4 linked regions of the Notamacropus eugenii genome follow. The protein of the gene in region 4 purifies or fractionates together with the protein of the main gene of each other region. This does not show direct contact. Links are inferred from orthologs where the notes say so. Each region holds a gene or a part of one and is shown on either strand. Other genes may lie near its edges. The genes, in order: LSM12, ATXN2, ATXN2L and NUFIP2.

Region 1 (7,267 bases), about 310 Mb from region 4:
GCAAACAGTCTAAGACCCAGACCTTCCCAACATTATTCTAAGCCAGACTTGGTCTATCATTCTTACCTTGCTAACATTGAGAGAAGCTAGGGGAGGAGGGGTTTCTGTGCGGTCATTAATTATTTCAATTTCCGAGACAAATTGTAGATTTATAAGCAGGATGTCTGCATGGTTAGGCTTTCCACTGGAAGAGGGACATTCTAGAGAGAGAATAAAGTTAAGGAAAACAAGCAACCAAAGTCATCAACAAATCCTGATGGGACTGAAAAACATGATTCAAGAAAGGCTTAAGGAAAATGCACACCAAAAGCAAGTGGTAAAGAGGCCTCACAAGAAACATAGTAAGAAGTAAGGAATCTCAAAACCTCATTCTTCCCCTGCTTCACCCCAGAAACTAAAGGATTTCAGGCTCTACAAACAGGAGCAAAATTGGGATCCCCGAGATGTTATCACTTTTTTCCTGCTAGTTCTTGGCATAGAAATTCATGTAACTTTTATGCAACATGGGTACTCATTTGTCTTTAAATTATAAGACACCATACCTTACAGTTTTTATTCCCATGTAGTTTCTAGCATAATAACCATTGTGTTTATAAAGTATTTTTTATTTTTGCAAGGTACTTTCTCACCATGTCACCACTTATTTCATCATCAGGTTGAAGATAAAAGGGAGGTATTATCCCCACCTTGAAGATGAGCAATTGGCCTGTCCAAGGTAATCCCAGCAGTTCATTCACTTGACAAGAATTCATTGGGCATCTATGGCATACATAATATTCTACTAAATGCAATGGAAATTACAAAAGAAAAAATCATTTACAGAATACAGTTAATGGTAGACTTGAAACTAGAACTACTACCATCAATCAGTCAGACTTGTATCCCAGAAATCCTTTTACTGGGTTGAGATTGCTGAGATTACTGGGTTACTCATTTTACAGGTCCTATTCTGCTGCAGCATCTAGAAAAAGTTGACTATGCTGTTGAAAGTTGTCTCAAAAATCACTTTCCTATACTAGAACTGTGAAACAAGTGGGTATCTTTTGTTTGATTGTTATTTGGAATTTAAATGTCTGCCACTTCAGAAAAGCAGGCTCAGTAAGACTTAATATGCACTTTCACTCTGGAAGTATCAAAAAATGATCACTGAAACAATTGCAGACAGAACCACTCCTAAGAAAAAAAATAGAATTCCCATACCTTAAACAAACTAGACATTTTAGACATGAGTAGATGGCACAGCAGACAGTGTGCCAGGCTTAGGATCAGAAAGACCCGTCACAGTCATAGTCTAATTCAGTCACTTACTAGCTATGCAACAGTGTAACAAGTCACTTAAACTTCAGCCTCAGTTTCATCAGCTATGAAATGGGGCTAACAGAATCTACCTTACCTCACAAAGCTGTTGTGAGGATCAAATAAAATACCTATAAAACACTTTAAAACTTAAGATCACTTTAAGTGTTAGCTATTACTCTTATTATTCCCACCCCCATCTCTGCTTATTATCAGTACCCCTCCCCCAGAATCAAACTTGGTTATTCTTTGTCTGGGATACTCAATGAGTACACCCCCAAAATAGAAATTTTCCGGCTAGAATATCAGCCTCCAACAAACCCCCCCCCCCCAAGAAGAAACACACAAAACAGTAACTGAAGTCTCTTTCCAGCGATCACCTATAAACTTCATCATCAGGGGATCCTCAGAGAATACCCACCTTGGCCCCTAGTTTCATTTTCTGTGCCCATGCCTCTTTCCATGAGGTAAAACACACACACAACCTCTACAAATTCAGGAGCCTCTTACCTTCGGGTACAAGCACCTACCCCTAACCTACACACCCCCTCCCCCACGTGACCACGGCCCCCTCTTTCATCTGGGGACTGCAGACCCTACCCTACAGCCCCTCCCTTCCTTCCACTAGCCCTTTCCTCAAACAGTGACCCCTCACTAAGGGATTCAGCCAGAACAGCCACCCGCGTGTCGAACCCCCTCCGCCCACCTCCTCTGCCTTCCTTCGTCAAGGCCCGGCTCCCGCGAGGAAACTGAGACCCCAATGGGGAGTGGAAGGGGGCGGCAGAAGGAGGGGAAGAAGGAACTAGGCTTGACCACGCGCATGCGTCCTTGGCGCCGCGGTCGCCGGTCGCCCCTTAGGCCCCGGACCCGGCCCGGCCCGGCCCGGCCCCAGCCGCCGCCGCCCCCCCACCCGTGCCAGTCAGGCCTGGAGTGCCAGCCAGCCCTCGATGAGAAGGATACTGAGCGCCAGCATCTTGGACTGGTAGTCAAAGGCTACCACTTCGCCCTGCAGCCGCTGCTCTTGGCACGTTCGGCATGAAACCTGGCTCCCAACGCTGAAGTACTCGCCCGGAGGAGCCGCCATCTTGGGAGAGCAGCGGCGGGCGGCGGGGCAGCGGCGAGGCCGGCCCCCTCAGTGCGCCGGCACGCACGCGCGGCGCGATGGCGTCAGCATACCGGGGGCGGGGCTAGAGGACAAACTGGGAGGGAGGGGCTCCGAAGTGCGGGAGAGAGAGAAAAGAGAAGGGAGGAGGAACCAGGCAGCCAGGATGAGTTAGGGAGAGAGGGATCAAAAGTCTGGCCCAAAAGAAACGAGGAGGTGCAAACCCCGGAAAGGTGTCCTCCTCTAAGTGAAATCTGATCCTCTCCACTGAGCTGATGGTCTTCATCCATTTCTCCAGCCTTCCTCCCCCTAACACACACAACTTGCCTAAATTTAAGGGAGACCCTCCAGTTGGATTCAGTTTTATTTTGTTTTGCGGTTTTTAGTTTTGTTTGGGTTTTTTGTATTTTCCCCAAAGAAATATCAATCTAAGACACAGAGTTGTGTTTAAACTTCCCCAGAAAATAACTTTTACTCCACACATTTGTTCTCTCTCAGAGTTAAAGAGGAAAAACAAAGCAACAGACAAAGGCTGCTAAGGCAGAAATAATACAATTAAACGAATATACTCCTTTAGGATAGAGACTTTAATTTCTTAGCTTTTTATGGTTAGGACTTAGTATCTTGAACAGTTTAGCTGGCAGTGAATTGACCCAAGACCCTAGTAACTGTCATTTCCTATCACATCCTATAAATTTTGACATTTGACCTCTTTTAGTTTTAGACTGAATCTCAAGCTGATCCAATCCTAGGTCAAAGACCGAGAAGTTTAGAGGTATGGGTTAGAGGGATGATTTTGCCTTTGTTGACCCTGAATCTCTGATAAACTCATTTGGATCAGAGTCAGTAGAAAAGAACATGTTCCAGTCCTTAATAAGAAAAAAGAAAGGAAAAGCATTGCTCTTGCCAAGCAAGGGGCACAAGGCTCCCTGACTTCTGCAACACCTTGGTGAAATCAAAAGTAATACTACCTGATTATACAAAGTATCTTTTGTAGTCTTTTCACATATATCACTTCATTTTATTTTCACTCCATCCTGGAAGAAGGTAAATTTAAGAGGTTACAACATATTAGTGGACAATATCTACTTGTGAGACTAGAAACCAGATATTCTAATCATGCTCGTGTCAACATACCTGCACTCCAGCTACCTTTTTAACTACATAAATTAGCTTTTATCATTTCACAATATAAATTATGTATTTATTGATGGGACCTGGACCCCTAAAAGGAAAAGACCATATCTTTGAAAGCAGCCCCGTCCCTGAATTTTCCCATACATGTCAGCAGTGCCTCTGCCCTAGGTAACTGGCCCACCCCAGCCCACCTCCATCACTTAATTAGTTTGACAGGGCTTTCACTGTCAATCTAGGCCCACCCCAGACTACTTAATACTCCTTTCACTATAGCACCTAGACCACCCCTGGCTATTTACCACTTCTTAATCCCATCCAGATGCTTTCACCATGCTTTTTGTAGGTAGGCTTCAGTCTCACTGCCATTAAGTTGCAGATTCACTAGGAATCCTGCTCACTCCCATTGGCTACCGAAGATTCACTTAGAATCTAGCCAGATTGGCAACACAAATAAACCTCAATATTTTGACTGAAAAAAGGCTAGAGTGGTCGAATTCTTTCCAGACCCCCTGTACCTTTGCATTTCCATGTTCCCAGCACCCCAAACCACAACATGTATCAACTTCACTTTATAATTGAGCTATCTTTATCATTTCACTATCTAAATTTGCTGTTTCTTCATTGAATGGCATCCACTTTTCCACGCTCATTTCTTCCTTTCCTCCCAACAAAACTAACCAAGGGCAAAGATGTCTCAGGCTAGAAATGGCTTTAGGAAGTTTTATCCTAATCTTAGCCTCCCCCCTCACAATACCCTGTGACCTAGACCTCATCAAAAACATGATCATCTCTAGTTTCCATAAATTTCTTTCTCCAGTTACTCCAAATCCTAGTAAACTGTTGGCCTCATGGGTGGGCACTGAACACGGTTTCAATCTAGTTCTCACTCACACATACTTACATACAAAAACAACCCTACTGGATTCCCTGGATTACATGGTAGATAGACTTCGGGGACATGAATTTTAGAATTTTAAAAATTAAACTCTTTCCTCCTCTATCCCCCATCCCGCCCCTGAGAGAGAGAGAAAGAGAGAGAGGTGTGTGTGTGAAATTGCTGTCCCCTTTCACAACACACCTGGGATGCTATGGTTATGTCCTTGAACTTCCCTGTCCCTATGCCCTGACGAGACCACGGATCTTTCTATCAATAAGACAAGGCAGCAGAAAGAAACCTCACTTGGAGAACTAGCTATCATCCTCCTCAAACATCAAGCATCAAGCTTCAAAGCCTGCCTGCTACCCTCTGACCCAGGACCGCAGAAGTAGCCACCGCCCCACGTCCGCTGCGGACTGGACGCGAACTGGGGACACGTGGGTCTGGGGGAAAACGCCCTCGCGAGAGGTTTGTCCCCTACGCTGACCCGTAGAAGGAAGACCTAGCGAGAGGTACAAACCCGGGAGGTAGGGAGGAAAAACGTTACTTGGAGGGCAAAGCTCGAGCTTGTGGCCCTGGGGGAGGGGGCAGCACGGGGCAAGGGACCGGAGAAAGAGGGCATGCGGTCGAGCTCGGACAGGGGTGCGGTCTGGGGAGCGCGCGCGTGGCTTGGAGGCGGAGTTTGAGGTGCTCTGGAAACCGAGAGGCGGGGCCGCGCGGGGTAAGCGGGAGCTTCCCGGGTAGAGCAGGGGCGAGGCTTGTGGAATGACTGACGTGGGGGGGGACGTGGAGGGAAGCTCGGGGCCAGGGGGCGGGGCCTGAGAGCTGTAGGACGTAGAGGGCGTGGCCTAGCGCCGGGCGAAGAGATGGCGGAATCTAGGGAGCTCTGGGGCAGAGGGGGCGGGGCCTGGGTCGCTTCGAGGGCGGAGGGGGCGGAGCTGAGAGCAGAGACCTCTAAGTGCGTCTAGGGCTGATGCTAGTGGTACCCTGGATGTGAACTGCTTTGATATGCTGGTGGAAGGAAATGGTGGGGGCTGTGGGAGGCGCCTTCCTCTTACCTCTGGCCTCCCTCAGCTTTCTTCCCTTCAGAAGCAGCGTTACCCCGTCAACACAAGGTCAGGGCTCCAGGGCCTGTGACTTCCTGGTATGGAGTCCACTCTGGGAGCGGGGATCGTGGTGGCGGAAACTCTACAGAGACAGCTACCCTGGCTGGAGGACGTCTGGCTCTGGGTCACCTTCCTCGGTGACCCCAAGTGCATCTTTTTTTTCTACTTCCCCATGGCCTACTATGCTTGTCGCCATGTAGGCATTTCTGTGTTCTGGATCGCCCTGCTCTCAGAATGGCTCAACCTCATCTCCAAGTGGTGAGACAAAACCCCTTGCCATCCCTACTTAAAGCTCAGGCCGTTGTCAGCAGGAATGTATTAAAGGCTAGCACTATGCTAAGGGCAGAGGATACAAAGAAAAAGATGAAATAGTGCCTGCCGTCAGGGCAGGTATATTCTACCAGGGGAAATAAATAAAATATGAAGTAAACCTAAATGCAGCTGGGTGATTGGAAAAAGAGTGGTACCCTGAATATAAAGAGAGAAATTCAAAAGAAGAGTGAGGTTGGTGGAAGTATAATGAGCTATTTTAATTTTACTATATTGAGTTTTAGATGCCAGAAGACATCCAATTAGGTTGTCGATCCACTAGATAGACACACCCCACCATCAACTGTCACCCTATACATTAACCCCTGATTGTCACTCCTGAGGACATGCCAACAAACACATAGAAAGATACCAGTAGTCATATCATACACTGACCCCTCACATCACTCCCGTGATCCAATATAGTCATCCCTAAACCCAAGCTGTAGGTATTTAAACCACAGCTGCTTCATACATACCCATAATCACTCCCCACCTCTTACCACCCAGGGACTCCTTTTTTCTAAGTCATTATTGTGTTCTCATCCCACCCCCACAAGTAAGTGCTTCCCAGACAAAGAAGAGAGCCTCCTAAGTAGAACTACTTCCCCTTCAAAGTAGAAGGCCCTGCCTCCCTTCTTCAGCATGAAAAGACTAGGGATAAGGGATACAACCCTACAAAAGATGTCAAGTATCACCATAAATGATATCCCAGAAATTCTCTGTTGGTGTTTTTTTTAAGGCCCTCTCTGTGCAATCTGCCTTTTCTGGTTTGATACAGGAGAGAGTTGATCTGCCTCTAACTGGGCATTCAGCCTTCTCCTCCAGATCACCCCACAAAAGGATGCCACATTCCCAGCCTCGGAGAGAAGTGAACAAAATTGTTAAGCAGGAGGCAAGTAAAAGTTACGCATGCTGCAGGATTAAGAAAAGTTGAGAAAGAAGGGCTGTCTGGGTCTCTCCATCTCTCTCCCTCTGCCTGTATCAGTGTGAACCATGTGAGGAAAAAGAAGGCAGGGTTTTCTGGTGTATCTTTCACTGGAAAATTTGAGGAGGAAAACTTTTCAGAGTTCCAGCACAATAGCCATTGGAAACCTTCCTTTTAGAGCTAGTCTTCATAAGCACTTTAAGGTTTCAGATTACTGTAAGTGTGTCATCTCATTTGATCCTCACAACAACCCTGGAAGGTAGGGGTTGTTATTATCTCTATTTTCCAAATGAAGAAATAGAAGCCCACCTGCATTAAGTGACTTGTCCAGAGTCACACAGCAAGTGAGTGTCTGAGGCAGGATTTGTATAGAACTCTGACTCGAAGTCCAGCCCAACATTCATTACAACACCTAGCTACTTCTTACTCAATTCTCTTTTTCCTCTACCTCTTATCTCCAGACCATCTGCTTCCTTCCGCAGTTCTGTTCTTTGTACCATTGGAGCTCTCTA
Region 2 (7,396 bases), on a different chromosome or scaffold from region 4:
AAGGGAGATCCAGCTATTTTTATCTCCTCATTTCCAAATCCTACTCACTTCCCTATTGCCTGTGCCTCCCTCTCATGATAAACTAAGTGCTACTGGTCAAATGTCAAAACATTCTAAGTTTTTGGAGGGGGCAGCAGAGCAATATGGTGGCCTTACAATAATCTTGTGAGGCGGTTGTGCAAATTTTACTCTTCCTGTATTAGAAATGAGGAAACTGGGACTTAGAAGGTTAAATTACTTGCTTTCAAAGACACAGCCAGTAAGTATCAGGGCTAGGATTTGAACACAGGCCTCTGCCGACTTGAAGGCCACTGCTCTTTCCATTGTAGTGTACAGGAATACCTCATCTTATTGTGTTTTGTTTTTTTTCGCTTTGTAGATAGTGCAGTTTTTTTAAAACAAATTGATGGTTTGTGAGAACCCTGTGTTCTATTGGCACCATTGTCCCAACAGCATGTGTTCACATCTTGTCTCTGTGTCACATTTTGGTAATTCTCACAATATTTCAAACTTTTTCATTATTATTATATTTCTTATTGTGATCTGCCATCAGTGATCTTTAATGTTACACTTGTAACATGCCCATAAGTTGTTGAACATAGTTGATGAATGTCGTGTGTGTATGTGTGTGTGCGTGTGTGTGTTATGACTGCTCCCCTGACCACCTGTTCTGTCTCTCTCCTCCTATTCTTTGAGACACACCAATATTGAAATTAGGCTGATTAACAACCTCTAAGTAAGTGAAAGGAAGAGTCCATCGATGCCCCCAGCTTCATGGCTGTCTTATTTTAAGAAATTGCCACAGCTACCCCAACCTTCAGCAACCACCACCCTGATCAGTCAGCAGCTTGTCAACATCGAGGCAAGACTCTCTACAAGCAAAAAGAAAAAGACTCGATGAAGGCTCAGATAATGAATATCATTTTTTAGCAATAAAGTATTTTTTCGTTAAGGTATTTACATTTTTTAGACATAATACTATCAAACACTTAAGACTTCAGTGTAGTGTAAACATAACTTTTACATGAACTGGCAAAACAACAAAATTCATGTGACTGGCTTTATTTCGGTGGTCTGGAGCTGGACTTGAAATATCCCTGAGGTATGCCTCACATCTCTGTGGTCATCTATAACTGTAAAACCCATGGGCCTAGCTAATCAAGCCTAGTTGGTCTTCAGGCGCTGAAACATTCCAATACTGGAAGGTAAAGTTATCTCTTCAAAACTGATTTGTAAGCATTAAGGTCTTATATAAGTATGAGTCATTATTATTAATATTAGCTAAATGGGCAAGACATAGAAATCTGTAAAGTGAGGGGGTTAGATTATATGATTCTATAACATGTGACTTCAATACCATGGGAAACCCTGACATTCCTGCCCCTCAAGTTTCCCTTCCTGGATAAATTCAATTTCCTTTGACTGGTGGGAAAGTCATTTTCTCCATTAACGCTGAGGAGAGGCACGTGGACATCTAGTCAGAAGACTCCAAGGGATCAATGATGAGGCATCTTCTGAGGTTTTTTTTAAAAGGTAAAAAAATATGAAACACAGACTTATCACGTAGTGCCTTAAGATTTGCAAAGCATTTCTCTCACATAGCACTGATAGAGACTGTAATTTTTTTTGGCCTAGAATGACTCCAGTGCTTAGTACAGGCCTTGTCACATAGTAGGTGCAAAATAAATGCTTACTGACTGACAATAAAAATAATGTATTTATGGACTGGCATCCATAAAAAACGTGGACGTTCAGGAGCTCACATCATAGTGCATGAAACAGCGATGCATATATACTGAGTAAGATTAGTAAATTCATAAATTATATCTTAGGAAGAGTTGCCTAGACACTGAGAAATTGTGTCTTACCCAGGTCCACACTGCTGGGATGGGTTATGAATAGGATTTAAATTAGACTCTACTTAGGAGTAGCCTTAGTTCTTGTTCTCTCTTCTGAATTGAGCAACATTTATTGAGTACCTACTATGGTCCGGATACTTTGTGGACACCAATGTAAAAAAAAGTTCCTGCCTTCAAGAAATTTATTTTCTATTGCGAGACAAATCTTTTTTTTTAATTTAACATTTTATTTTTCCCCTAATTACACGTAAAAACAATTTTTAACAATTATTAACATTTTTTTAAATTCCAAATCCTCTCCTTTCTTCTCCTTCCCCCCCCCCAAATTGAGAAGGCAAGGAATTTGATATAGGTTATACATGTGCAGTCACATAAAACATATTTCCATGTAAGTATGTTATGAAAGAAAACTTTGTGCTTTGTGCTTTGATCTGCATTCCGACTCCTTCAGTTCTTTCTCTGGAGAGGTGGATAGCATTTCTCGTTGCAAATCCTTCAGAATTGTCTTGGATCACTGTATTGTTCAGAATAATTGTCATTCACAGCTGATCATCACACAATATTGCTGTTAATATACATAATGTTCTCCAGGTTCTGCTCATTTCACTTTGTATTGGTTCATTGAAGTCTTTCTGGGTTTTTCTCAGAGCATTTCTTACAGCACAAAAGTATTCAGTCACAATCATATACAACAATTTGTTCAGCCATTCCCCAATTGAAGGGGATCCCTTCAATTTTTAATTCTTGCCACCAATGAAAGAGCTGCTATAAATATTTTTGTACATATAGGTTCTTTTCCTTTCTCTGTTTTTTCTTTTGGGATACAGATCTACCAGTGGAATATCTTGGTCAAGGGGTATACATGATTTTACAGCCCTTTCGACATAATTCCAAATTGCTCTACGGAACGGCTGGATCCGTATACCACTTCAACAACAGTGGGACACAAATCTTACACTTTAACCCCTCTACACACTTTGTGATCAAAACCACATTGGCCTAGATGTTCCACTACAGGACAATCCATTCCTGGCTCCGCTGACCTGCACCTTGCTTCCTTCAAGACTTAGCTCAAATCTTGCTGTTTTCAGAGAGGCCTTTCCGCTTGTGCCTTTCCCCCTGGATTACTTTTCATGTACATATCTTGTATGTACTAAGTTATTTGGGGTAGCTAGGTGGCAAAGTGGATAGAATGCTGGGCCTTGAGTCTGGAAGACCCCTCTTTCAGAGTTCAAGTCTGGCCTCAGATACTTCCTAGCTGTGTGACCTTGGTCATCACTTCACCTGGTTTGCCTCAGTTTCCTCATCTGTAAAATGAGCTGGAGAAGGAACCAGCAAAACCGCTTCAGTATCTTTGCCAAGAAAAACCCAGATGGCAGCGCAAAGAGTTGGACACAAATGAACAGCAAAACCTTTCATGTTTGTCACCCCCGTTAGATTGGTAAGCTCCTTGTGGGCAGAGACTAAAACTTCGCCTTCTGCTAGATGCCCTTCCTTCATAACCACTCTTAATGCCAGTGACTATCTCCAACTGATCCTGCATCTGTCTTGTTTGTACATAGCTGTGTCTCCCTCTGTAAACTCCATGAGGGCAAGGACTCTTTTATCTTCTTTGTGCCCTGTGCCTGGCACGGTGCCTGGCACACAGTAGATGCTTAACGAACGTTTGGCGGCTGGTATTTTGTACCCTTAGCACTAGGGTTCGATTAATAAATGTTCAGACGTTCTTTGGACCCCAGCTCTTAGAAAGGGCCTGGCACAGGGTAGGCACTTCCTAAACTTGATGACGGACCTTCTTCGGACCAGCAGGCGCTGACTCAGGAGGCCTGGCCCCCGCGGCCCCCTGCGGAGAGGGGCGCAGCCCCACGGGGATGCTCCTAGTTATTACACTGGAGGGCAGCCAGGGGTACAAGGACTCAAGGACTCGCTATCTCTCGGGGTGACCTTGGCCAGGGGCTGCCTTTCTCCTTAACTGGAATACGGAATATAGGCTTGGCCTCCAGGTCTTCACCTGGGTTTCCCCTTGGGGTCCCCCGCTTCTCCCTCCCGTCAGGATTCTCCCTCCTCAGACGGGTGGCCTGTAACCCCCAGCCCGGGCTCGGGGTCGGGCGGCGAGAGTCCGGCCCCTTCCCTGAGCTCGGGCTCGCGTCCGAGAGGCGGGGCCTGTTACGGCCCCGCCCCCTCTGGCACCGCCCCTTCTGAGACTGCCGGCCGGTCCGCGGGAGCCCCACGTGCGGCCCTCCAGCTCTTGCTTCAGCTCCGGCCGCAGTGCCGTCTCACGCTCCCCTTCCTGTCCGGCCCCTCCGACTTCCGGAAAAGAATCCCCTCCGTCCGACCTCCCTGGACCACTCCCCACACCTGCTTTCGGGGAACATCCCCTCCTCCGCTCTTTCCTCCTATAGTGTGACCGGCCTTTGGGTTCAGGAGAGGGGTGTCTCCTTTTGAGGGTCGGCAGACAAGGGAGCGAGCAAGCGCGCGCGGTCGGAGGAGGTATCCTTCCGCCGCCGCTTGTTCCCAGGCGTCCCCCGCGTTCCGTTCGCGGCAGGTCCCCTCCGGGCCCCCGTCCCCCTCCCCCCTCCCGGCCGGTCCTTCCCTCCTCCCTCCTCCCTCCGCCCGCCTTAGACTGTTTTGGTAGCAACGGCGGCGGCGGCTCCCGGCAACTCGGTGTCGTCGGTCGGTCGGGCGGCCTTCCCCGCCCCCGACCCTCCCCACCCCGCCCCCTCCCTTCCCTCGGGCTCGGGCTCGCGGCCGCCGGCTCCTCCTCCTCGGTCTCGACCTCGGCCTCGGCCTCCTCCTGCTCCGCGGCCCCGGCCTCGCTTCTCGTCAGGCGCCCGGGCCCGGCTCGGCCCTCGGTGTATGGGCAGGTCAGCAGCATGTCCCTGAAGCCGCAGCCCCCCCAGCAGCCGCCGCAGCCTCCGCAGCCTCAGCCTCCGCAGCAACCGCAGCCGCCGCCGGCCCCGGCGCTGCCCCCGGCCCAGGCCCAGGCCCAGCCCCCGGCTCAGGCCCAGCCCCCCGCGCCCGGAGCCCTGGCGGCGGCGCCCGGGGGCGCCCGCAAGCCCGGCGGCCTCACGTCCTCGGCCTCCTCGACCTCGGCCTCCTCATCGTCGGCGGCCGGTGGCGGCGCCGGTGGAGGGCGGCAGAACCTGGGCAGGTGGGTGCGGGGGACCCCCGGCGGGCTGGGGAGGGGGGCATCCCTGGGCGGGCGGGGGGGATGGGCCGGGCCCGCGGGGTAGCGGGAGCCGCAGGAGGAGGGGGCGGCCGGGACCCGGCCGTCCTGCCCCGCAGTGGGGGAGGGGGACCGGTCACCTCGAAAACGCCCCGCGGCCGCACGGGCCGCAGCTCCTTGCCGTCGTGGCCCCGCGGCCCGAGCCTCCCAAGGGCACCGGGGCCCCTGGGTGGCGCCTGGTCATCCCGGGCCTACTGTCCCGACCGAACCTTTGGGAGACGTGTTGGCCTGGCCGCGAAGGGAGAGGGCCCCGGGGTGGGTCGGCCCGGCCCTGGCTCAGCTCGGAAAGCCAGACGGGCCCCTGGGTGGCCGAGGGACTGCAGTGGGCTCTCTTTTCCTTGGCCCTACCCAGTTATCTCTTTAACCCTTCCGGGGGAAAAAAGGACAAACCTTGAGCCCTTCGATGTTTGGGGAGCTCCGTTTAAAGGGAGGTTTACCCCGTTATTGAAACAAGAAAGCCAGTCCAAATGAATGAGGCCGTAGCTATTCCGAGGGTGATTGTGAACGCTTTTTAAACTTCGGGAAAGTCGGGCGCAGGTATTTAAAAGTTTCCAAATACTATCCAAATAGCAGACATTTCCTTATATCCCTTCCTAGGTAGCCGATTAAAAATCAGTCTGCTGCATTAGGGGGGTCGGTCTGGCGGAATATTTATAAACAGACCGGGTGGGAGAGTGGGGAGAGCCCCCGTGCCCGCGTCAGGACGTGGCCTGTGGGGGCTTGGACCAGATGACCTCAAAGCTGGCGTCCAGCTCCAGGGTTCTGTTAGGTCGCCGGTCTGACGGCCTGGGTGAAGTGGGAGGGCCACAGGGGTGGGGTGAAGGGGAGGGGGGGACCAGCGGAGTGCCACGGATTCCTTCCTACGGTCGGGAGGTTTTCTCTTAGCAGAGTTTAATGCTGTTTCCCCCACTAGGGCCTTTGTCGTAAGAGCCTTCGTTTGGCCCCTCATTGCTGTAAGCTAGTTTTTGATTTCTCCTTGCTTAAGAGTCCTTCGGTCCCCATCCTTTCAAGAACTGCATAAGATTTCTTTTGGAACATGTTGTCCCGGGGTTTGTATCATGTGAATTTATATCCTTGCTGCCGACCTCTTATTAATACTTTTAGAATCACCTTCACTTTCAGTATTATCTGAGTCCTTTTGTGAGGCTAGAAATAAAATCAAATTTCCTAGGGCTGTTTGGCTACCCCTATTTCATCTGAGTTGGAGATAAAAGTGGGTAAGACTGCACCGTAGTGAAAAAGATCACCAAAGTTTGACCTTTATGCATAGTAAGTAAAAAGACAAAGTGCAACATTAGTACATTATAGTGTTTTCTGTGAAAATGAGAACCTCATTTTCAGAAAAAAGGTTTTTTTGTTTTTAATTAAAACGGCTTTAATTTCTACTGTAGTTTGTTTCTTCACAGCACAATATGCTATGCACACAGTAGACTCTTAAATGTCCCTTTTATTGTTGTCTGAGACTCCTGTTCTGCTGACTACAGTTGTGCACATAAAAGGTGGCCTCTCTTTAGTGTGAATTTTGAGTAGTTTGCAGAATCCCTTAGGGGGTAATTTCAAAACAGAAAAATACAATCAGAATGATTATTTGAGTACTTACTGATACGTTCAGAATTAAGTGCTTTTGCCTATTATCCGGTTCCATATTTTTTTTTAATTAAAATTTTGATGCCTTTTGTGTTTCCATCAGTCGTTTCCCACATTTAATCTTTGCCTCCCCCTCATCACCCCCTTTCTATGTTGCTAAGAACCAAAGGACACAGTAACTACTTGTTACGGGATATTCAGCATTCTGCAGTCTGAGTCTCCCACCTTCAGGGGAATCAGTTAGTATTGCTCAGCACCTGCTGTGAGCCACGCTCTGGGGATATGAAGAAGGTGAAAGCCAGCCCCTGCTCTTACGGTTCTCAGTCAGATGGAGACTACAAGCAAGTAGCTGTGTACAAACAAGATGTATGCAGGGTAAATTGGAGATGATCTCCAGAGGGAAGACGTGGTGATTAAGGAGGTCTGCAAAAGACTTTTTGCAGAAGTTGAGACTTTCAGCTGAGGATGGGAAGCCAGGAGGTGGATGTGAGGAAGAGCATTCCAGGCATGGGGGATAGCCAGGGAAAATGCTCATAGTCTGTAGATTGGGGAGTAGAGGGGGGTGTCCTGAAAGGAGCAGCCAGGAGGCTGCTGCCACTGGATCTCAGTTCTGTGGAGTGGAATCAGGCATAAGAAAAATGAAAAAGTAGGAGTCGTTCTGCATGTAGAGGGATTTAAAAACCAAATAGAATTTTATATTTAGTCCTGGAGACATTGGGGAGCC
Region 3 (6,906 bases), on a different chromosome or scaffold from region 4:
TCTCTTGATATTCTGATGATGTTAACAGAGCAGCTTATTTGGGGGTAGAGGTGGCATGGGGGAACAGATGTCAGTTTGAGTTTTAGAACAAAATAGGTAGAATGCCTGATAATGTGCTCTCATTCTTAACACTTCCTGAAAGAGAAAAAAAATAAGAAAACATGTTGCTTAGTGTGCAAAGGATTCAACCAGTTGAGCCGTAGGGCAGGGAAGCTGGTACATCCTTTGAGAAAAGGGTAGAAGGCTATGCAAAAAAAGAAAATTAGAACTGAACTTATAAAACCCTGGCACATAGGTTGCAGGGAAGGTTTCATGGAGAAAAGTTAAAATATTTTTCATTGACTTTAGGTAGCTGGAACAGCCTAGTGTCTTCCTTTTTTAGGTCAGAGATTGAGGGATTTGGGGACTGAATGTAATTATTGAAGGATAACCTTAGGAAATGTCCCCAGTTCATGGAAATTCAGTACACAGTAATTAACACAAGGTTTTGAACCTAGCCACTATTTATATCACCTGACGTGAAGGAGATGGTTCAATTATTTTACATGAATTTTGAGGTTCGTTCTGGCACTCACCTGCCTGATTGCTTCAGATAACATTTGTTTATAACTTGGTATGAATGGTAGGGTTTTGCCAAACAGTAATCCATACATACATAAGTTTAAACCTGTTCACCTGATTTATACATGGGTGCTCAGTAAGTATAATGAGAGTGATTTATCTCACCACCTTCCCTGGGGCTCTGAGTAATATTCCTTTCATGCCATTCATGAAATGCACATTCAAGAAATGTTTGTTAGCTAGAATGAAGGAGGCGTGAAGGGGGAAAGACAAGTTTAGAGGCCTTTCTTCCTAACCCAGTGTTCACAGGTGAGTGGAAAGGGACTTCAGAGATCATACTCCAACAAGAATACTGCCTTACAGATTGTCATCCAGTATTTGTGTGATGACATCGAAAAGGAAGAGTCCACCACCTCCTGAGGCAGACAGATCATTTTACAGGCTCTCACAACCTTGACTGGAAAGTTTTCTTATATCAGGCATAAATTTGCCTCTGCACCTTGCATCCACTGCTTTTAGTGCTGTCCAGTCCTTCCACATGACCCCTGTCCCATCAAGGGTACTTCAGGTCACATCTACCTGTCTTCTCCTGATTATACCTCCCCAGCTCTTTCAGCCAATCCACATAACATGATCTTAAAGATGAATGTCCAGACATAAACACAGTACTCCAGATGTCCTGCCCATGCCTGTTCCTGGCTACTCTGCCTCTCACTACAGTTTCAGAGATCATTAGGGGTTTTTTTTGTTTGTCATATCCCAGAGTTGATCCATATTGAGCTTGCAATTTACTAAAGCACCTAGATCTTTTTCAGAACAATTGCTGGCTAACTCTGCCTTCTCTATCTTGCACTTGAGAATTCGATATTTTTAACCCAACTATGAATCTTTATACTTATCCCTATTAAATATCTTAGGATTAGATCGGGATTCTTCAGTTTTTTGCATTGTAGACCCAGACTCCTTTGGCATTCTGGTGAAGCCTATGTATGGACCCCCTCCTCAGAATGTTTTTAAATGGATAAAATAAGATTACAAAGGAAACCAATTAAAATTAAAAAAATTTTTAAATTTACAAAACCCAATAAAAAGTTAAGAATTACCATATCATATTTAACCCAGTATTCTAACCTAATAATTTTTTTTGTTTCTTGAGCCCTAGAAGCTATCACTCTCTACTTTGTCATATGCAAATTCAGTAAGCATGGTATCTATGCCTTTATCCAAATCACTGATAAAAATATTAAACAGCACAGCTCTCTGGGACACTTGATTACACCTTCTTCCAAGGTAACACTGAACCATTAATGGCTACTCTTTGGGTGTAGTTATTCGGCTAGTCCTGAATCCACCCAACTAAATATCATCATCTCATATTTCTTTGCATTGTCCGCAAGAATGCCACAATATACATTTTCATATATTTTGCTAAAATCGGGTAAACTATGTGCATGATATACCCCTTATTTTTACAAGTCTAATTATGCCATCAGAAAAAGAAATGTTTAGTTTGGTATTACCTATTCTCAGTGACACCATGCTGACACTTGGAGTTATTGCTTTTTTTTTTTTTTTACCAACTAGATTTTGCTAGGAAGTAAAACAGAATTTATTGGCCTATGTTTTTCAGATTTCCATTCTGCTGAATGTCTGGATATCTGCCCGTTTTCAATCTTTGTAGCACCTCTGCCAATCACCTTGTCTGTCTGGACCTCACTTTCCTCATCTGTATGTGTGTGTGGAGTGGAGGTGGATTTAGATGACCTTTAAAGCCTCTTCCAGCTCTAATCTGATTAACCTAAAATGTCTAATTGCAGATCCAAATTGTTTTAGAAAAATCTGAATGGAGATTGTTACTGAATTGGCTGGCTCCTAAAATGTTTCCAGTTCTCTTATCTCTGGATGTGACTGTTGCCTCCATATGTAACTATCCGGAGAAGGCACATTTGTGTATATATTGTTGCCTTCCTTCCTGTGGTCACTCTTCCTTCTAGCTTTCAAGGTTAGGACACTTAAAAATACGCACACACACGCACACATATATAGATATATGTATATGAAGTTGTAAAATATTTTGTAAACCTTAGTTATTATTACCCCACTACCTTAAACCCTTTGGAAGAAAAATGCTAAAAACTGTGTACATAAATACTTCTTTTTAAGTACTACCATTCCTTCACTCTTCTTGATCCTCTCTCATTCCATAAAGATGGGCCTTAGACTTTAAATGAAGGGATTGGCCTAGATCATCTCTTCCAGTGCTCCTCCTAAACCTAAGGAATCACCCATTTGTAGCCAACATACTTGTGGTTCCTGTTCATCTCCTGAGCACATTGCCTTCATTTCTCCGGTATGGGAGAGTTTAGTCTTCCAATTTTACCAAGAAAAGATGGAGAAGACAGTAATAGAGCATAGGAAACTGGCAGGCTTCATTTTAAATGAGAGCCTGCACGACATCTTCACCCAAAGCCTCCTCCCAACCTGCGGGACTTTGATGACTTGACCGGTGGGTCTTGTTCCATCAGTTGGGGAAAAGCATGACTCGAAACAAAGATGTAGAAAATTGTTCTTCTAACAGATCCAAACCACCTATTAACCAGTAACTTCAAGAGACAACCTCACCCCCCTTTTTTCCATTAGAGCTGTTAATAAAGGAACACAACTTTTTAAAAAATAGTTTATCTTCCTGAATGTATCCGAGACACCTACTAACGTAGTTAGTTGTTAACGATAATAAGCAGGTCGAAGGGACGGGAAGCAAAAGTCTAAATAAATTCTCCGTGGGCTAACAAACAAACGTAGGCTCCTTACTGCAGAGGAAACGTCAATGCCACCCGCTCCCTCCGGGCCTTTTTGCCTTCAAACCGATCCCTGTACGAGTCCCGGTAAGGCGGAAGGATAAGGGATTGCACGGCAGTACTGTGACGTTGCACATGCGGCGCTGGCTGTACTAGGTAGGAGAATCGCACATGCGCAGTGGTTACCTATAGCTGGTCTCCTTTCTTGCCCCTCCCCCAGTACTTCACACGCTCATTGTCAAGCGACGGCGGCGAGCGGGCGGTCACGGGGCGCGCCAGAGACTCCGATACCTCGCGCGCGTGCGCCTTTAGCTCTCTTCAACATTCCCCCTCCCCCACCCCCATCTCCCATTCCCTACTCTGAGTCTTCCCAGTGTACTAGGAACGCAAAATTCACCTTTCTTTGCTACCCCTTTTCGCTTAACCTAGAGCTAACCGTCTAGGTGTGAGCGCGTCTCCTCGGTCCCTCGCTCCCGGGGGCTTGCGTACGCGCGCGCACTCTCTCTTAACTCCCCCTCCCCCGCCTCATACTGTTTCTTTCGCGCACGCGCGCCGGCTCGCGCCCTCTCTCTCGCTTTCCTCAAGCCCGCGAGATCCCCCCTTCCGCCTCGCGGCGCCTTCTCGCGCCGCCGCCTCCTTGTATCCCTCACACACCGGCCCCCCCACCCGCTAACGGCGGCGCCCCCTCTTCCCAACCCCCTTCACTCCTCGCGCGCTCGGGCGGGCCCGGCCTCAGCCCAGTCCTGCCCCCCCCAACTCCCCTTCCGGACGCCGCCACCATGTTGAAGCCGCAGCCGCCTCAGCCATCTCAGCCCCAGCAGACACCCATCCAGCAACCGGCACCAGCACGCCGGCCTCCCGGGGGGACCAGCCCCCCCAACGGAAACCTCGGGGGGACCCCAGCCTCCGCCTCGGCCCCGGGGCCGCCCACTGCCGCTTCCCCAGGCCTAGGGCCTCCTGCCGGAGGCAGTGGGCTCCGCCGGGGAGCTGAGGGGGTTCTGCCGCCACAGCCGCCAACACATCAGCATCAGGAGCGGCCCGGGGGCGCTGCTACTGGCAGTACCAGGTGAAGAGGGGCTGGACGAGGGGGGATGACGGGACGTGGGACGGCCGAGGGCCCCCTGCTTGTTGGTAAACGTCTGTCTGCCATCAAGGAAGGGGCGGGAAGGAAAGCCCGCGGAGTCCCTTGACCCGGCCACTTTCGGAGGGAGACAGTGGCCAGGGTTGGGCGGTGGGCTGCCGTTGTGCCGGGGGCAGCAACGCTGAGGGTCCCCGGTCCAACTTTCCGGAGGGGTTCGGCGGGGGCTCTTGGGTTTAGCCAATGGGGATGAAAGAGGAAGCGGCGTGTGCCCCTACGGTCTGGCCAATAGAGGAGATGGGGTCCCTGAGTCGAACCAATGCAGGGTGGGGGGATCCTTCATTTCATCCCATTGTGGAAGTGGGGTTCCTAAGTCGGGCTAAATGGTGGGGCAGGATGGGGGAAGGGGCGGCCCTTTGGCCAACCAGCAGGTTGCTCAGCAGAAGGGAGCCTAGCCCTAGGGGGCTCGACTAGGTGGGAATTCTTTGCCTTGTGTAGACCGGGAAGGGTAGACTGGGCAGGATGGAATGCCCCCCATCCCCGGCCTCGGAGGAGCGAGCGAGAGTGTGTGTCTGTGTCAGTGTCCGTATCGAAGGGGGTGCATCAATGGCGGGGGCGGGGGGAGGAGGAGAGGAGGGAGGTAAAGGTGAGTAGGGTCCCCGGCTCAATTGATGTGAAGGGTCTCGCGGTCCCAAAGCTCAGCCAATGGGTGGGAAGAGGCGGGAAGGGGTCCCTAGCTATAGCCAATGGGGGGGCGTGGAGTCCATAGTTGGGCCAATGGGCAGAGAAGAAATAGGCTGCGCCTTCCCCCCGCCCCCCCCAAGGAGGGAACTGCAGACCCTGTATAACCCCCTGTGCGCGCGCGCACCCCAGTACGTGCGCGTGGAGAAGGTGCCGTCTTATGACAGGGTGTTAGGACGGCGCTCCTGGCGGCTCCGTGAGGATAGCTGTAGCCGGCGCGGTCTAGTCCAATATTCTGCGGTCTGTTTCTAAGGTCAGGGCGGGGGTGGGAGCTCGGCGGACCGCACATCTCTCGTGGAGCTTATTGAGGCTGTACGCAGGCGCTCTGGGGGCAGGAAGGCGAGCGAGCGTGAAGGAAGCCTGAGGGCTGTAGTGCGCAAGCGCTGAATGGGTGAGGCCTCCCTGTGGATAGCGTCTGCGTCTGCGCGGTCCCCTCACCCCGCCAAACGGCCCCCCCTCCCCCCAACGGCCAGTTACATCAGCCTGTGAGGACCCTGGTATCCGCGGCGGTTAGTTCTCCCCAGAATGGGTAATGGGGCTTTTCGTGTAGGGGTGGAGACAGTTGTCTTCCGTGGGCGAGCTCGGGGGCTTGCTAGAGGTGCCTTTGGCACTCTGGGGTGATGGCTTTAGATTGGCCAGTCCTAGATGGGCTCCATGTGCTTCCTTGTTCTTGTGGGTGTTGTAAACCCTGAGCCCCGTCCCCTTGCCTTGGGAGAGCTGCGGGAAGGTTGCCTCTTAATCTCGTCTCACAGAATGGTTTGGACAGAGAGCTAGGCCGTGGGCTTTGAAATGAAAATAATGCATCTCGCTCCTCCAGTTCTTTGCCTTTTTAAGATGTGGACAAGCCTGAAGGCTGTACTGGTTTATAGACTTTCATTGCTCTGTGCCTGATGAGGCCCAGGGACGTCTCTTATCCAGCCTTTCTTTACTCCTGTAAAAGATGTGGACCTTTCTTTTTTTGTTGTATGTTGAGTTAGACGTTCCTGACCCCTTTGTAGATGGGAGTGTAGGAGGGAATTGGGCAGACTTGAATAACTAAAAGTGTCCTTGTTGTTTTCTCTTATAGGGGACAGAGCACAGGAAAGGGGCCCCCACCGTCACCTGTGAGTGCCTTTCCAGTAGTTAAATTCAGGGATGTAAAAGGGTGAAGTGGGAACCACTGGGGAATCGGGCAAAAGAAATGTCAGAAAGGTAGAAGTTTAGGATACCTGATAAGCGTCTTCCCTTTACTCATTAATTTGTCATCTCCGTGTTATTTTCAGGTATTTGAGGGTGTCTACAATAACTCTAGGATGCTACACTTCCTTACTGCTGTTGTGGTATGTACCTGTCTTCTAAAGTAGTTTGGTGGGGTCTTAAATAAGTGTAATGTGAAGTCTTTAATTGTTGCTCTTTCTGCCAGGGCTCCACTTGTGATGTAAAGGTGAAAAATGGTACCACATATGAAGGTATTTTCAAGACTCTGAGTTCAAAGGTAAGTGTATTCATCAACCTGGCTTGGAAGTTAGAACCAGCTGGAAAGGGTGGTATGTGGGAGATGCAGTGCCGTCAGTCTTAAAGATCGTCGTAAAAACTCTGCCATTCTGTACAGATGTTCCTAGCCTAGCATTGCTTGCTATAATTGTTTTATATTTCATCATAATAAGCGCTGTAGCTTTGAAAAAATATTGATGGCTGGGCAGGTGTGCGTTTGTACGTTATCTCTAGCCTGATTTCTTTTCATCGTTA
Region 4 (7,143 bases):
ACCTAGATGGACACTAATGGGATGCCCAGAGTGAACTGGAGCTAAAAGATGCTATTTGTTCTGGTTAACCTGATTCCATGCAAGAGATTGTTCTGATGCCAATCATCCCTTTCAGGGATTACGGACCATGGAGACAAGGCGGGGCTGGCTGCCATCTGCGAGTCATGGCCCCACTAGGCAGGATGATTAGGTTCAATGGGGACTTTCTTGAGCTGTATTCTTCTAGACTTGGAATTGGAGAGAGACAAACCTGGTAGTATGAATCTGAAGCTTAGCACACAGGACACAGTGCTTTGGATTGAGAACTGTACTCTTCCCCCAGATCACTTGAGACCATTACCTCATCCATTTTCATAGCATTTTTGGGCAGACCTTTCTGCAGATGGGGACACTGAAGTGCAGACTGACGTAAAGCGAGCTTGCCAAGGGTAGAGTTAACTATGTTAATTCTGTGTGGCCAGGTCACAGATAGAAAAGAGGCAAAGGAATTTTGACCTTTGACATAATTTTTGTACTGGGCACCACACCCTATTAGTTAACCATGTCTGTGTAGTTTGGTCTGATTTAAAATATAAAGTCGTTGAAGGAAAAGGAGGGTCCACAGAATAGAAAAATGATGGACTTAGAGATGGTGGCCTTGGGTCCAAATCCTCACTCAGCCACTTAAGTGCTGCCGATTTTGGGTAATTATTTCTTCGTGTCTCACTGGCCCTCTCTGTAACATGAAGGTTAGGGTTAGGTGACCTCTAAGGTTCCTTCTTGCTCTAAACTGTTAATTCTCTATCTTTTTGGACCGGACTTGGGATTTCATGGGTGCAGGGAGCTGCTGGGAAGAAACTCCCTGCTCCCAATGGAGATCTGTATTCTCTTCATAGCTTGTGGTCTTGGAGAGTCACCTGGGACACAGAGAAGGTAAATGGTTTGTCTGTGGTCAACCTGCCAGTATGTATTAGAGGCAAGACTTGAACCCAGGTCTCCACTACTGGAGGTTAATCTCTATATTATTTTCATTGTTCTTCATTTTTTTCCAATTTGGCCTTTGTACTGGAGGAGGCTTTGTAGACATCTTACTGTCAATTGCTAAAAATGGTAGATCAAATGCTATCAATGTGGGTGCATGTCCCAGCAAAGTCATTCAGAGAAGGATGAAGGGCAGCTCAGTTTGACAGAACTCTGGAATTCAGGAGTTCATCAAGTGTGGGTCACAATTAGTGCCCTTGGCATATACTGTCTGTTAGTTAAACCCCAGAAAACACCGTCATTTGATTGAGCTCAATGGAGGCCGATTTGGCTTTTTATTCCTGACAAGATGATACTCCAAAGGCCAGATGCCTGAATCGAAACCTTTCATATCCAGAAAGTCATCTTATTCTACTTGCTGAAAGACTAACCTGAGCTCTCCTTATCTCCATCTAGTCACTCCAAAAGTCTTTTTGAAGCTTGTATCTCCAGGGAAAAATTCTGAGATCTAAAAGAAAAAAAAATGAATGAAAATTTTTTTTCTGTAATGGAATGAAACACTAGATATTTCACATTGGAAATCCTGTAATTCTGGGTGCTCTGTGACTTGCCTGATTTTGAAGTTGGAATCACCATCAGAGGTAGGTCTGATTTCCACATAAATACATTTGGACAAGGCCTTTTTTTCTCTCTAGATTATAGTTTGTGGAAAGTGAAAGTTAGTTATTACAGCTATAAAACTGGACTCTGCATTGCCAACTCCTCTGATGCTATGTGATTTCACAACAAAGAGAAGAAGCTCTGGGATGAAAGATTATTATTCCCAGAGCATTAGAACCAAGAGGGACCCCACGAAACAGAGGCCTTGAGAGGGCAAATTATTTGCCAACCAATGGAACATGAGGCATTTCTCATTAAATGTAGCAGCTTCTCCTACGTCTTTTGAGACTGAATCATAAGAGTATAAATACAAGGTGAAGGATGTATGAAAAATTATATTTTAATTTTATAACTAAAATTTTAAGGTACATTTCTGGAACCACAGAACTTGTGTGCATTTTAAAGATTTCATGAAATATTAGAACCATCGTGACTAACATTAAAAATAATAATAAATGCTTTTTCTTAGCAAAGCTCGTTCGTCTCTTAATTTTGCTGAGACCACTTACGAGCTGCAATTCTTTTCAAGTTTAGGAGTAACACAAGATGATTTGTCTAAGGCAACAGACACCCACAGCAAGAGAGAGGAAAAAAGTGTTACACCTCATCCTTGGTCTCCAGGAAGGAGAAAAAGGTTTTGGGTTTTTTTTTTTAAATGTTAAGCAGGAAATCTCAATTTCTCTTTTTAGTGTGCTATACTGCTTGCCAGATTTTAGAAACCACAAGGTAAATTAACATCTGAAAGCTATACTCATCTATTAATAAAACTGCTTTTAAATATCAGAGAGGATCTCTGAATGAAATTTTGATTTTTTTTAACCTCTTAAATCACGATAGAAGAATAAAGATCTGGGAAAAAGCTGGTGGCTTTGGGGTCACTGAGGTAGATAGAGTCACAGTACTTGAGAAGTCCTTTTATTAAAGGCATGCGGCTCCAATTTTAATAAAGAAACCCAAAAGTCAAAATGATTGACAACTGGGACAGAAGAGAAAGCACATAGGATATGCGAGGTCAGGGTATCGAAGGAATAAGTTTGGAGTTTCTCGAGTCAGGTCAACGCTGGTTTACTAACTCGTTGGAATATCAAATTCCACCCCCTTTCCCCACTTTTTTTTCCTTCTCAAAGAGCAGTAACCAGACATGACATCATTATCAGTTGAACATTGCTCATTTATAGGCAGCTTCAGGGCAAAGTATATTAAGTGGGGGGAATATATTAACTTTAATTATTTTGGGGAGCCAAGGATATAGAGTTGTCATTATAAGAGACACTGCTCTTCCCTTCAAGACAGCTTTCAGACAGGACAGAGTTCAGATATACCTACTAATTAGCTATTATGAGTGGAAAATAAATAAATGCCATCCATTTCCTGATCTCTTAAAAGTATGCTGATTCAGTATCACTGGTCACATCACATATTTAAGGAATTCAAGAGCATCCAACCTAGAATCCAGGGGGGACCCGAGTTCAAACACATGCTTAGACACTCACTAGCTATATGACCCTGGGTATGTCATTTAACTTCTCGAGTGTGCCTCAATGTCCTCATTTGTAATATCGGGATAATAATAGCACCTACCTCCCAAAGTTGTTGTGAGGATAAAACGAGATGTCTGTCAAACACTTTGCTGACCTTAAAGCGCTTTATAAATACTAGCTATTAATCCCTTAGTTGGAATACATATTGGACAAAATGGGAAAGGGCCTTAGAAAAAGTCATGCGATGTTTTTGTTTGGACGGAACTTGACCTGAAAACGTCCTAAGTATTACCAAGGTCGAGTAAACTTGGTTTGAAAGCGCTTCAGAAGAAGCCAGGAGAAGTACAGCCGAGGAGTTCCTAGACCTGGCGGCTCTGGCACGGCCGGCCCTGCGGGCACAGGACAGCAGCTCTCTCCTCCGGTCCAGGTAGCTCACTGGAAGCGAGGTAACAGGTTTGGGAAGTTCGGAGAGGAAGGCCCGCGGAAGGGAGTCCCACGGCTTTCCCAAAGCCCCCGGGGAAGTGACCTGGGAGCAGGTGGAACTCCTGGCAATCTCGTGTCTCAGGTCTGAGTCAAAGACTCGGAGGGCAGAGGTATCCCAGCCCCGCAGCGGTCTGTGAGCGGAGGGGGAAGCGAGCGCCCAGCTCGTGTGTTGGGCGGCAGCTGCAGTCCCCAACCCGGGCTTTGGATAGGTTTGGGTTCCCCGTGTTCATCTGGAAACGACCGGCCTGTGCGCGGAAACCTGTTGCTGTCTGACCCGGGAGCAGGTCTGACCTAATCCTGCGGAGAACTCATAAAAGGGAATTACAGGACTGACATCACATTTGCTTTTATAATCACATGTTGTTATGTAATAAACACGGGATTATTTTAATTGACACTCTAGGACCCGGCGCAATCCTCTTATTTCACCCTCATTTCTGTAAAGCGTGAGAAGCCCAGCTCGCCCAGCCGGCCAAGGGGATAAAGAGTATCCCCTCCTCGCTCCCCCGGCCCCTCGGGCACAAGCCCCCCACGACCCCCTCCCCAGACAAACGCCTCCCCCGCCCCGAACCCGGGGATCCGGAGGGAGACTTTCTGGCGAAGTTGGCGGGGCCTGCCCCCGGCTCTCGCGGGGAGGGTCTCCGGTCCCCAGGGCGTGGGGCCGGGGCGCGGCACGTGCCCCGAGGGCGGAAGGGGCCCAGGACCCCCGGCAGCCGCGGACTCCGGAACGACCGGCGTTTAAAAACAACCGGTGGCGCGGCCCCAGACTCCCGCGGCTCCGCCGGCCCGGCCCCGGAACGGGCGGGCGGGAGGCCCGTGGAATCTGCCGCTCCGGACGCGAGCTAGCTGCGGGGGCAGGCGTGTGGAAAGTGCTGCTGGCGGACGGCGCCGAGCCCCGGGCCGAGGCCCCGACGGCGCAGAGCCATAGTGCTGACGTTGGAGGCCCAGCCCTGTGAGGTTGCGCCGGGTAAGTGGCGCTCGGCCGGGGAGGGCCCGCCGAGAGGGCGGGGGAAGGGGAGGAGCGGGCCCGGGGGCGGGGCCTGCGGGCCGGCTCGGGCCGCCGATTGCTGGAGGGCGGCTGCCAATCTCCGAGAATCCCCCAGTCAGCCGGGGCCCTGGCGAGAGCCACTCAGATGTACGGTGTGTGCCCGGAGAGCAGCCCGAGACGGTCTGGAGACGGTGCAGCAGCCCGCAGCCCCAGCCAGGGAGTCCCCGCCGCTTTCAATGGAGGAGAAGCCCGGCCAGCCCCAGCCTCAGCCCCCGCCGCCGCCGCCGCAGTCCCAGCAGCCGCCCCAGCACAGCAGCAGCAGCCACAGCCACCACCACCCCCCGCACCACCACCACCCCCAGCAGCCGCCCCAGGCAGCGCCGGCGCCGCCGCCGCACCACCACCACCACCACCATTATTACTACTACAACCACAACCACCACCACCACCACCAGCACCACCAGCAGCCGCACCAGTACCTGCAGCACGGGCCCGACGGCAGCAGCCCCAAGGCCCAGCCCAAGCCGCTGAGACATGAGCCCAAGCACGCCCTGCAGCCGCACCAGGAAGCGCCCAAGAAGAAAACAGGTCCGGGAGCGCGGGGGGTGCGGGGCCGGGAGGGGGCCCGGGGTCACGGGGCTCGGGGACACCCTCCCGCGCCGCTGCTCCCGCCCCTGCTTCCGCCCGCCGGCCGGCGTGACCTTCCCGGGCCCCCGTCCGCCCGGCTCGGGCCCGCTGCCCTTCCACGCGGGGCGGGCGCTGCCGGGCCAGGCCGGGGCCGGGCCGAGGCCTCCCCTCCCCCGCATCCCCCGGCGCCGCCCGGCCCCGGCCCACCTGTGGACCCGGCGGGGCTGAGCCGGGAGGTGGGGGCGGGGGGCGCGGCGGGGCCGAGGCCTGGACCAGCCGTCCCTTTATCGGCCTCGTCCTCGCCGCCCCGCCCGCCCTGTCCCCTCGCTGTCCGGGCCGGGGCCGGGGCCGGCGCGGCTGGAATGTTCTCCGCTCGTCGCGGGGCCGCTTCCTGTCCGCCATGTTGGGAGCCGATTCCTGTCACAGGCCCCGGGGCCCTGCGGGGGGGGGGGCCCGCGAGCCCGGCGCGTGCCCCGCCCCCCCTTCCCTCCCCCAACCCCCGGCCTGGCCGCGGCCCGGCCCGGCCTCGCTCCCCCGGCGGCGGCCCAGCACCGGGAGCGGTTGGGGGTCGGGCCACGCGGGGAGCGGCGGCCGCGCGGCCTCCAGCCCTGCCCGGTCCGGCTCCGCCCGCGGCCTCCCTCCTCGCCAGGGGCGGTGGTTGGCCGGCCGGCCGGGCGGGAGGGGGAGGTAAGGCGGGCCGGCGGCCCGGGAGGGGCGGTGGCCGGGGCGGGGGGGGGCAGCCACGCCACACCACGCTGAGTGTTCTCGGGGGAGCGGGCCTGCGCCGCCGGCTGTTACAACGCCCGGCCCGGGGCCGCAGGGCCGAGCGAGGCCCCGCCACCGTCCCCTCCCTTTCCCCTGGCGGGCCGGGCCCCCGGCGTGCCGGCCGCGTGGAGACGGGGCCCCGGCCCCCGCCCGAGGAGAGCAGTTTGGGGGCGTTATTTTCTTAAAGCCCCCCAGGATCGTGGCCGAGCGGCCTTCCGTGGATGGCCGGGTCAGGGGGAAGGGGAGACTTTTGGGGGCCAATGTGAACCTCCGAATCCGGTGTCCGGGCTTGGGCGCAGGCCTTGGGGCGAGCGGGGGCAACTTTTCCCGGATGTTTGAGCCTTAAGTCCGGTCTGCCCCCGCTCCTGCCGCGCGGCTTCTGCCCTTGTGGGCTCTGGGGTTGAGACGGGGCCCGTCGTGGGCCGGGGAGGGGGCGCGGGACGCGGGCCCCGGGGTTTCCCTGAAAGTGCTTTGGGGGGGGAGTTTAATCCCGAAGGTCGGAGGCCGCCGAGCCCCTGGTAATAACGGAGCTAATGGCCCTCGGCGTCTGCGGGAGCAGCCGCTCGGGGAAGCCGCCGCGCTTGTTAGCGTTCGGTCTCCCGAGGAGCGGCCGCGCTCTGGGTCGACCCGGCCCGGCCGTCGTCCCTCCTGGCGGCCTCGTCCTCACGCTCCCCCCGGCGTGATGCCCCCGGGCCGCGCTTCCGAGAGGCCACCGGGAGCTCCCGAGGGGCGCCGCGCCCCCCACCTCGCCGAGCCTGGCAGGAGTGCTCGTGGTGAAACTTTGCCAGGTGGTGCCCGCACGTTGGCGAGGACTGGAGGAAGCTGGGCCCCCCAGCCGGGAGGAGAGGCCGCTCTCGGGCGGCTGCCCGCTAGGGGGCGCCCGAGGGAGGCCGCCCGGAGCCAGTGCGAGCCTGCGTCCGCAGCCGCCGGCCCTTTCCAGAACCCAGTAGAACTGGAGTCCGTTTTAAAATGGAGTTTTGTGCCCGGACAGCTGCCGGGCCTCGGGAGAAGCCGGCCGCGGAGGGTGCTTGGACGTGATGCTCGGCTGGCTGTTCTCCTGCAGTTTATGACTTGTGGGGGCTTTAAGCCTTTAAGCGCAGTCTCGTTAGCCTAGTGGGTCCTGGAGTGAGAGAAACGGTAGAAGGCCGTAAGTTAGGCCACAGCGCGGGGCTTGTCCGA

Evidence for each region.
Region 1: the proteins of NUFIP2 (region 4) and LSM12 purify together in Homo sapiens (affinity purification with mass spectrometry; 3 studies listed by BioGRID and IntAct, counting the BioPlex papers as one, with this or other methods). This does not show direct contact. The link is inferred for Notamacropus eugenii from reciprocal best matches to the Homo sapiens genes NUFIP2 and LSM12.
Region 2: the proteins of NUFIP2 (region 4) and ATXN2 purify together in Homo sapiens (affinity purification with mass spectrometry; 3 studies listed by BioGRID and IntAct, counting the BioPlex papers as one, with this or other methods). This does not show direct contact. The link is inferred for Notamacropus eugenii from reciprocal best matches to the Homo sapiens genes NUFIP2 and ATXN2.
Region 3: the proteins of NUFIP2 (region 4) and ATXN2L purify together in Homo sapiens (affinity purification with mass spectrometry; 4 studies listed by BioGRID and IntAct, counting the BioPlex papers as one, with this or other methods). This does not show direct contact. The link is inferred for Notamacropus eugenii from reciprocal best matches to the Homo sapiens genes NUFIP2 and ATXN2L.

The regions. Positions count from the first base shown.
Region 1 is NC_092873.1:349,979,183-349,986,449, reverse strand, and holds the start of LSM12 (protein LSM12), read right to left. Parts: upstream 3,018-7,267; 5' UTR 2,381-3,017; coding exon 2,257-2,380; intron 201-2,256; coding exon 67-200; intron 1-66. Other genes in the region: G6PC3 (glucose-6-phosphatase 3), read left to right, coding at 5,559-5,776. UniProt on the Homo sapiens protein: Nicotinic acid adenine dinucleotide phosphate (NAADP) binding protein. Confers NAADP sensitivity to the two pore channel complex (TPCs) by acting as TPC accessory protein necessary for NAADP-evoked Ca(2+) release.
Region 2 is NC_092875.1:34,609,117-34,616,512, forward strand, and holds the start of ATXN2 (ataxin-2), read left to right. Parts: upstream 1-4,380; 5' UTR 4,381-4,732; coding exon 4,733-5,010; intron 5,011-7,396. UniProt on the Homo sapiens protein: Involved in EGFR trafficking, acting as negative regulator of endocytic EGFR internalization at the plasma membrane.
Region 3 is NC_092872.1:46,614,939-46,621,844, reverse strand, and holds the start of ATXN2L (ataxin-2-like protein), read left to right. Parts: upstream 1-3,897; 5' UTR 3,898-4,138; coding exon 4,139-4,425; intron 4,426-5,315; exon of another isoform or gene 5,316-5,687; intron 5,688-6,244; coding exon 6,245-6,281; intron 6,282-6,440; coding exon 6,441-6,497; intron 6,498-6,580; coding exon 6,581-6,652; intron 6,653-6,906. UniProt on the Homo sapiens protein: Involved in the regulation of stress granule and P-body formation.
Region 4 is NC_092873.1:36,771,086-36,778,228, reverse strand, and holds the start of NUFIP2 (FMR1-interacting protein NUFIP2), read left to right. Parts: upstream 1-4,130; 5' UTR 4,131-4,808; coding exon 4,809-5,160; intron 5,161-7,143. UniProt on the Homo sapiens protein: Binds RNA.